Linked DNA regions of Nothobranchius furzeri. The protein of the gene in region 2 purifies or fractionates together with the protein of the main gene of each other region. This does not show direct contact. Links are inferred from orthologs where the notes say so. Each region holds a gene or a part of one and is shown on either strand. Other genes may lie near its edges.

Region 1 (4,487 bases), on a different chromosome or scaffold from region 2:
ATTTTATTAATTTTGATCAAAAGTGGACCAAATATTTTACAAGTAATATGAATTTACTGTTATTTAAGGAACAAATTAGACTTAATTTATGTCAGGTCATTTTTTTTGCCGTAACAACGAGCAGCGATTGTTGCCATGACGATGTATGGTTCTTTCCAAATGCCGTCCTCGACCTCCCGTACTCTGTAGAACGGACTTTCTGCTGTACTTGCCAAGAACCTACACCTCAAGTACACAAGAGCATGCTAGTGTACTTAAACCAGGTTCAGCTTTCACTTAATCTGTAAGATCCAGAACTGAATCTAAAGTTTTACTTCTAACTTTTCTTCTACTTCTAGAGTGGAAGTGATCTTATTTGTTGGAGAGAATGGTTCATGTCCTGTTTAATAATGGGTTTCCAGAGTCCTGCAGCATTTAAGAATGAGTAAACCTAGATCCGTTTTTTTGCCGATAACCTGCATAGATAAGCGTCTAACAGTGCTGTAGAGGTGTGTAGCCATTACTTTAGCATTTTAGTGCATCTTATTTAACATTTGAAAATTCAGTCCAAAACTGTAATTATTTCTCCCTCTTCAGGTTAAAACTGCTCTACGTTGGTTTAGTCAGTCACAGTTGAGGGCTAAGAGCTGCAGGGTGCAAACACCTGACCTGCACCCACAGGCCGCACTACACTAGACCGCAGCCGAGTCTCGGCCGCACCTGCAGCTGGCTCGGCCACTCGCGATCTGATAAGAAACAACCCGGCTCTGAGCCGCACGCCTCCTTAAAAAAAAAAACGTTCTCCGCTTTTTCTTCTAGTGATCAAGGTGGAGAGAAAACCCCCCAGCCTGCTGCAGTTTGCTCATTCTGCTGAGCGGTGAGTCTGCTGTGTGTGTGCGCACTTATTAACAACTTTAACTCCTGACCTTTCAATCATGGTGCCATTCTGGATCATCCACACATCACAGTAGGTCCTGGCCACCAACATGGAGGCAATGAGGATCAAGTAGGCTGTCTGAAGATAGAACAGATTATCACACTGCATTGCTCCAACCACTCTGATAAGACACCTGACTGATGGTGACCTTTGCTCTAAGGTCCAATTGGCACATAAACTCACCTCCATGCAGAACACCCTCGGGACCATGATGTTCAGGATCCGGAGAATGCGCAGGAAGAAAACCTTGTCCACTGCTGTCTTGTCTTTTTTGACATCTTTCTACAGAAGACAGAAGCAAGTCCTCTTTAGTGGGTTCAGACTGATTTAGTAGAAACAGTTAAGTTCAAACGGGCTGAACTCACCTCTGTGTTTAAAAGCTGTGAAGATCCTTTTGCACTGAAAGAAAAAAATACAGAGAGTTGGCCTGAATAGAAGATTAGAGCTGGTAAAGGTTTGCTTACACAGCATGACCCGGTTTAAGCCTGTTACATTCTCCACAATAACCATGTTTGGTAGAGCAAAAGTCTGAGCAAATTAACTCCACAACCAGGTCTGTGTGGGAAAAAGCCGTTTTTTAAATAATGCAGCCTAAGGGGTGAAGAAAATTCTCAGTTCTTGAGATTTGACAACCTGAGATGTTCGCCACTGACCCATTAGTGCCTCCAGAAACCCAGCAGCCACTGCTGCTGGTCCTCTTCCAGACCAGAACCACAAATTTGATCACTGGTTTGTGTTCTAGTCCCCATGATCCACACAGCTCCACCTGAACTAAAAACAAGTATGTGCAGTCTGGAACAGCCAAGCAGGTTTATCTGACCTGGACCTGTGTGTGGGTCAGCATGGACATGACAAACACAACACACACACGCAGCGTGCATGAGGGGTTATTTTCTAGTTAAAAATTTTCCCCCAGGTGCCTTGACGTGGTGACCTTTCAGTATCCTGCTAAAGGTCATGACCCCGTAACCGTAGGCCTGCCTTTACCTGAGCATCAACAGAGTTGCACGCAGCGCAAAGAAAAAATCCAGCTAAGGTGGTAAATGTGTGTGTGAATGGAGGTGTGCTCCAGAAGAACGAACACACACACTTTACCTTTGTCTACACATAAAGCAGCAGTAGTGAGCTGGTTGTTGTGAAATGGTGAGTTTTGAACAGGCACCTCAGTGGAAACCTAAAGGTCCTCGGGCAGCAGCCAGTTACACCCAGATGTGTCCCCAAAGGCATGTCTGTGGTGTCCTTGGCTCCTCCACCTTACCCCTAACGCTGGTTTAAGAAACTTGTAAAAATAAAAGCGTTGGCTCATTTTATCTCCATTTTGTCATCCTGGAAACTGAACAAGAGCAACAAAGTCACTGTTAAGCGCTCAGCTGCACGGTGAGACACGCTGCTGACCCACTGAACGGGGTCACTCACCTCCTGACAACTTTATTCTTCTGTGACGGACATCAGCCGGGCTGGCAGGCGGGACCGTTTCTGACGGTGCACACATCTCAATATAACACCAGTGGAAGACTAATGAACATCTGGTTGTATTGCTTTTAGAGGAAACAGCTCAGTTCTTAGCGAAGTCTAACAGCTGAGACCCGACATGAAGGGACTTTAAAACCCCTGAAGGTTTAGCTCCACTCACACAAATGATTTAGCGATTAAAGCTGCCGGTATGAGTCAATGACATAAAGATGGTGACTGACTGTCAACATAACCGATCAGGTAATTGAGTAAAAGCTCTAACTGATCCATGACGTCTGCCAGCGGGTCACCTGTCGGGCCCGGCTCCAATAAACACTCACCTGTACTGTTTAGGCGTCCGGCTTCGTTGCTTCAACAAGTAAATGACAAACAGAATTCCTCCAGCTACACAGGAGTTTTTAGCTGTTACATATTTACTGAAAGCCGCCATGTTTCTGGCTCAACGGTCAGTTTACTTCGATTCACAGACCACTGACACTCATTTCCTTATGTGAGCTGCGCATGCTCAGACGAGCGTCCGCGCAGACGCTGTAGAAACCACAGACATGGGAACAACTATTCTATGGAACGCCAGGTGTGACAAAAATGTGCGAGTCTCACACGAAAAGTAGGCTACACTTGTTACCAGCGACTGTAGAAAAAGTTATTGAGCAGTCACCTTTCACGTGCAGCCAGCCCCCGTCGCTGGTGATGAGATTTCTAGCTCTGTGTTATTTGGCTCGGCCTACAAACAGACCACTCTTTTGGCTCCCAAGATATTTTTATACAATGTACAAAAAACAACAACAATATTTTAGGTTTTGTGCAAAAATAAGTCCAGGATTACAATTGTGTTTCATGAAAGTGACGTCATGGAACCAGACACGGAGAAAAGGCTGTAAGTTCAGCAAACTTCCCACAGGAGGAAAGAACCACCGTAAATCTGGTCATTTGGTAAATAGCAGCTACGCTAGGGGAGAAGAGATTATATGCCACGTGCCGATTTCTAGTTTGTAGTCATGCTAATTACAAACTTTTACAAGCTAACAAATCTCAAAGTACGTGACTGGCATGGTCAAAACACCCATCATTACTTTTCATTTAAATTGCAGTACAACATTGTGATCAGGGCGTAAGGCAAAGTGGATTAGAAAAATAGCGTTTTTAGCCCCGTTCACTTGTATTCATTTTTTCGTTCTTCCAGGGACCCATGATGCGAAAGTGAGTTTTTCTCTCCACTGTTGCTGCATGCTTGCTTAGTATGATGATTGCTCTGACTCTGACACTAGTCAGTGACTCGATGCAACCTGGGTTCCTTTTATAGGAAACTTTTTACTAATTGGCTTAATGAACTGAACTGTATCGAATTATTTACTGTGTGAAGTGCCTTGAGACAACTCTTGTCGTGATTTGGTGCTTTATAAATAAACTGAATTGAATTGACATCACTCCTATTCTGATGTCTCTGTACTGGTTACCCATTAACTTTAAAATTAATTTGAGAATCCTGACTATAACTTTCAGGGCTCTACGTGGTCAAGCTTCTCCCAACTCAACTGCTAAAGCCTTATGCTCCAACCAAACCCTCAGGTCCAAAAACCAGAACCTTCTAGAAGTTCCAAAGACTGATAAAAAAAAAAAGTCAAAGTGAATGCTCTTTTCAGGATATTTCACCCCAACTTTGGAATGAACTTCCTTACAATGTATTGACAGTCTGGACACCTTTAACCCACCCCACCCCCACATTGTTAATGATGTCAGATGGGCTTCAGGTGCTTTTTTATTTTCTATATTTTTTAGGAGAGCGCCACTTCACCCTTGCCAAGGGATAAACTATCAACCATCTTTAACCACCCCCTGTCCTGGAGGGGTCACCTGATAGGACAGTGGAAGGGTTTAAAAGCAGTTGAAGACCCTTGTATTTAAATATGCTTTTACTCAAACCTTTGTTTCCTTCATACATATTATGCCCCTCTCCGATTTAATTTTTTTATGGCTTCGACCTTTTATTTAATTCTGCTGTAATGCAAATCTTTTATGTTTTCTTCATCTGTATATTACATTTAACAATTTAAATAATCTTTCCTTTGTTTTATGATATTTTGTTTTATTCTCATGA
Region 2 (4,314 bases):
GAGTTCAGACAGCCTGACTCTCGCACCTTGAACAGAAAGTTGAGGAAGGAGGCGGGAGACTCTGGTACCCCGAAATCAGGCCAGGTGGTGTAGTGAAAATGTAAAATCTCACGCGTCTCGTGAGTCTGTAGGGAAAGGGTTGGGGTTAGAAATAAAACCGTCACACGTCAAACACAGCACCACAGATGGAAACCAAAGCCAAGTCGAGATGAAAATAACTTCCACTTGATGTTTCAGCTCAGATCAGCATTAAAGCAAAAACTAGGGAAAAAAACTTCCTTTTATAGGTTAGCATCAAATCCCCTCAGCAGCTAGAAAAGCCCAACTAAACACAGATTTTCAGAAAGGTCCAGTGCTGTCAACAAATCAGTTCATGCTCCACAAACTTCAGCAGCAAAATTATAGATCAAAACCAGGAAGTGATGAGACGTAGGACCAGCTCCTGACATTCCTGCCAAACTGAAAATACGAGTTACAACTATTTAGCTCTGTAAAAATTGTGGATGTAATAGTTAAATTCTTCTTTAGCTTTTATCCTTCCTAATTTGCTCTAAAGCACAAGACACCGTGTATATTTTCTCTGTCTTCATGACTAAATCACGAGTGGCAGAAGGTGTTCAGGACCCACGGGCTCTCAGCGTCAAATAACCTCTTATCTCAGGCAGACAGCTCAACAGAGAGGACTTACCAACAGGTTTTCCAGCTCCAGCTGTCGGACTGTGTAGTAAGATTTGATGTCCTCCGAGACGAGAGTCACCTTGAAGTTGGTGTCTTCAAAGATGGCGTCCTTCTCCTCTCTTTGCGGCCAGTATTGAGCACATTTAATCTAAAACCAAACAAAGGTCATGTGAAAACAAAAGAGTAGCGTGACTCCTGAGTAATGGACACATTAAAAGGTCTCGGTAAGGACAGACGACTGCTTACAGATCCTTTCTCTATGACCCGGTTTAGCATCACCACACCGTGGGTCCTCTGCTCCCAGACCATCTCCCAGAAATGGCCACACGTACTCGGCAGGGGTCCCTAAACAGGGAATAAACCACTCCTTTAAAGACATCACACTTTCTTCTTCGCATCACTAGATAACAATATTAGCACGGGATGAATAAATAACAGATCCAGCCACGTTCTAATCTCCAGGTTTTTACCAGCGTACTGTGATACAGACATACAGAACCACGGCTCCAGCTGGACCCGAGCCACTGCCTCTGATTTTGTGACACGTGCAGTTGTGACAGTTTAGTCCACATCCAGCATTTTAACTACAAGCAGTGATGGCCCATTTCCACCATTTTCAAATAGAAAGCCTGATATATACTCCTCTTAATATTCTTGCTTTTCTATTTGCTGTTTTTCCCTCACTGATCAATCCCATGGATATGCTCTCACTGTGGTATTCTTCCATTTTCCAAATCATTTGTTGACATCATAACTCCAAGACGTGTTACATACAGTAGATGTGTGTCTGTATGTAAAATCATACAGAGGACAGTGAATCTTCAGGATGCTTACCTGAGTAAGAATATAATTTCTCTGAGCCTCTTCAACAGTTATCAGGCTGGCATTGATGTAGTCGTTGGAACCCAGCTGCAGGTGTATTCTGCTGTGGTCAACTGAGGAGCGGGGACAAAAGACAGATAAAAATGTCTTGTTGTTGTTTAGAAGGGGAGGAACAGCCCTACCATCGCAACACTGATGAGAAAAGAGTCATTGAGCAAACTAACAACAGAGGTAACCACCTATCCTTCATATGAGATGTAAATGTGGGCAAAAGTTTCAGGTTCCTCATTTTCACATCTTGTTAGATGTGAATAATAAAAACTAAGTATTTGCAACCCAAGCTGCACAATTTGCATAGCTTATTCAGTGTGAAAAAGAGGAAACCAGCAAAGCTCAGCTGCTGGACTGTGATGGATTTAGTTCTGTGGATAGTAACTATTTTTACATTTTCTAACTTGTATAATTACTGTTGTTTTCTTATTTAAAATTTAGAAATTAGTTTCAAAGAGACAATCCTAACAATTTACAATCTGTCACCTTTGAATTATTATATGGGTATGATAGGAAATACACAATCTACCTGAATTTAAGAATGGTTATAATAACCGAGAGAAAACAACAAACGAGTCTGCTGATGATCAAAGTGTAACTCACATGGGCTGACATCCCTGTAACGGTTTCGAGTCTTGTTTTCAGGCAGTTTGGCATCATTGCATGCGCACTCGCTGGACTGCTGGCGAATCTCCTGAGACAAAATAAAATTTACCAAATAAATTTTAGCAGATTTAGGTTTCACACACTGTGAAAGTGGATCTGAGTGCATGTAGGCCTTACTTCCTAAATTTAATTCTTTAGAAAAACAGAAGAAAAAAAGAGTCTAGACATCACACTATTAACACTGTTAATGCAGGTAAACATGTACACACACTTAAAATTATCATAATAAAGTAGTTACTCATGAGTAGTGATTAAACAGCATTTTAAAACGTGATTAACGTTTTAATGGACACTTGATAAAGGTTTATTAAAGTCAGAACAGATCCGGGCCACTCCTGGGTCCTAGCGAGTGTTGCAGGTATTATACCCGGACAGACACATCAGAACAAGGCTGTACACACCCAGAAAAGTCCCGGTGACTAATAAAAACATTGATTATTATTAATACCTTATATATCTGCTGACTCGTTGTGAGCAGGCCTAAAATGACAGCTTCACCTACGGTTCGTGTCTCCACCTTGATGATCAGCCGATAGTTCCTACCTGGTAAATGGCGCTCCACCTCTCGTTCTCATCGATTTCCAAGAACTCGGCTTCCATTGCTTCCAGTTCAGCTGCCACTCTTTCTTTACGCCCAGCCCAAAACGAAGAACCACAGCTTCCCGGTAATTAAAGAATTAGTAGTGAATCGGTTTCCGGTAGTAGCTGCCCAATCTTCGGCCGCTGTTAGCTCGCATTCAGTGCGGCTGCTTAGATCGCCATCTCGGCCTACTCTTAACGGAAACACGCCGCTAGCTCCTCCTACACGGTGTAGCTGTCGTCCTTGGGTGGCTAAAAAGAGCACAATGTGTTTTGTTTTGTTTTAATTTGCTGCTGTGAGATATCTGTGTAGGATTCACAGCACTTCTTCAAGTCTGGAAAGTAAGTCTGTTGACACAGAATCGTCATCTCACCATTTCTGAAACAGCAGCGACCAACAGGCGAGGACGCGCGGGAGGCATCATATTTCTGGGAAAAAAACGCGTCTCGCTCTTTGGGGAGCGCGCACGCACACTCACGCACTGTGTACGTCATCGCCCCGGCTGCCGGTGAATTTGGCAAGCTGTTTTAACATTTAATATAATTACATTTAAAAAGTAATTTGAACGTCAGTGTAAATATTTCTGTCAAAATGACAATCTGAATTATAAAATCAAAACCAATGATAACCAAAACTGTCACAATATTAAAATTGTGTCTCAAGTTTTCCATAACTGAGACTTTGTCAGGGAAAACAAACTTTTGAAGCAAATTATGTCAGCTTTCCATTAATTTATATTAGGTTATCCCCTTCAGATGTGGCAAACATATCTGTCCATGTCTTTGTCTAGTTCATATTTCCACTGCACAAGTGAGTTGACATTTGAGTTCATCTTTTTAAATGGCACTTTGGTCACAAATAGCATTTTACTTCTACACTGTGCATAGAAATGAGTAACATGTCATAACATTTGACATTGTTTTATTAAATTGTTCTGCATTTCTACTGCATTACTGTTCTTTTTAACACAGCAAGTGTTATTTTACCTTGTTTTTGCATCAGGTAACAACATCGAGTAACAACATCAGGTAATAACATCAAGTAACAACATCAAGTAACTACACCATATAACAACATCCGGTAACAACATCGGGTAACAACATCAGGTAACAACATTAAGTAACAACATCAAATAATAACATCATGTAACAACATCTGGTAACAACATAATGTAACATCATCATGTAACAACATCTGGTAACAACATCAGGTAACATCATCATGTAACAATATCAAGTAACAACATCAGGTAACAACATAATGTAACATCATCATGTAACAACATCAAGTAACAACATCAGGTAACAACATAATGTAACATCATCAGGTAACAACATCAAATAACATCACGTAACATCATGTAACATCATCAGGTACCAGCATCAGGTAACATCAGGTGACATTAAGTAACAACATTATACAACATCTTGTAACAACATCAGGTAACAACATTATGTACTATCATCATGCAATAACATCAGGTACCAACATCAAGTAACATCATGTAACAAAATCAA

The links.
Region 1: the proteins of ptpn1 (region 2) and abcd3a purify together in Homo sapiens (affinity purification with mass spectrometry; 3 studies listed by BioGRID and IntAct, with this or other methods). This does not show direct contact. The link is inferred for Nothobranchius furzeri from reciprocal best matches to the Homo sapiens genes PTPN1 and ABCD3.

What each region holds. Positions count from the first base shown.
Region 1 is NC_091747.1:36,306,955-36,311,441, forward strand, and holds the start of abcd3a (ATP-binding cassette sub-family D member 3a), read right to left. Parts: upstream 2,904-4,487; 5' UTR 2,820-2,903; coding exon 2,710-2,819; intron 1,316-2,709; coding exon 1,282-1,315; intron 1,199-1,281; coding exon 1,100-1,198; intron 995-1,099; coding exon 906-994; intron 1-905. UniProt on the Homo sapiens protein: Broad substrate specificity ATP-dependent transporter of the ATP-binding cassette (ABC) family that catalyzes the transport of long-chain fatty acids (LCFA)-CoA, dicarboxylic acids-CoA, long-branched-chain fatty acids-CoA and bile acids from the cytosol to the peroxisome lumen for beta-oxydation.
Region 2 is NC_091755.1:52,048,967-52,053,280, reverse strand, and holds the start of ptpn1 (tyrosine-protein phosphatase non-receptor type 1), read right to left. Parts: upstream 3,034-4,314; 5' UTR 2,818-3,033; coding exon 2,761-2,817; intron 2,246-2,760; coding exon 2,155-2,245; intron 1,614-2,154; coding exon 1,513-1,613; intron 1,024-1,512; coding exon 925-1,023; intron 827-924; coding exon 689-826; intron 126-688; coding exon 1-125. UniProt on the Homo sapiens protein: Tyrosine-protein phosphatase which acts as a regulator of endoplasmic reticulum unfolded protein response. Mediates dephosphorylation of EIF2AK3/PERK; inactivating the protein kinase activity of EIF2AK3/PERK.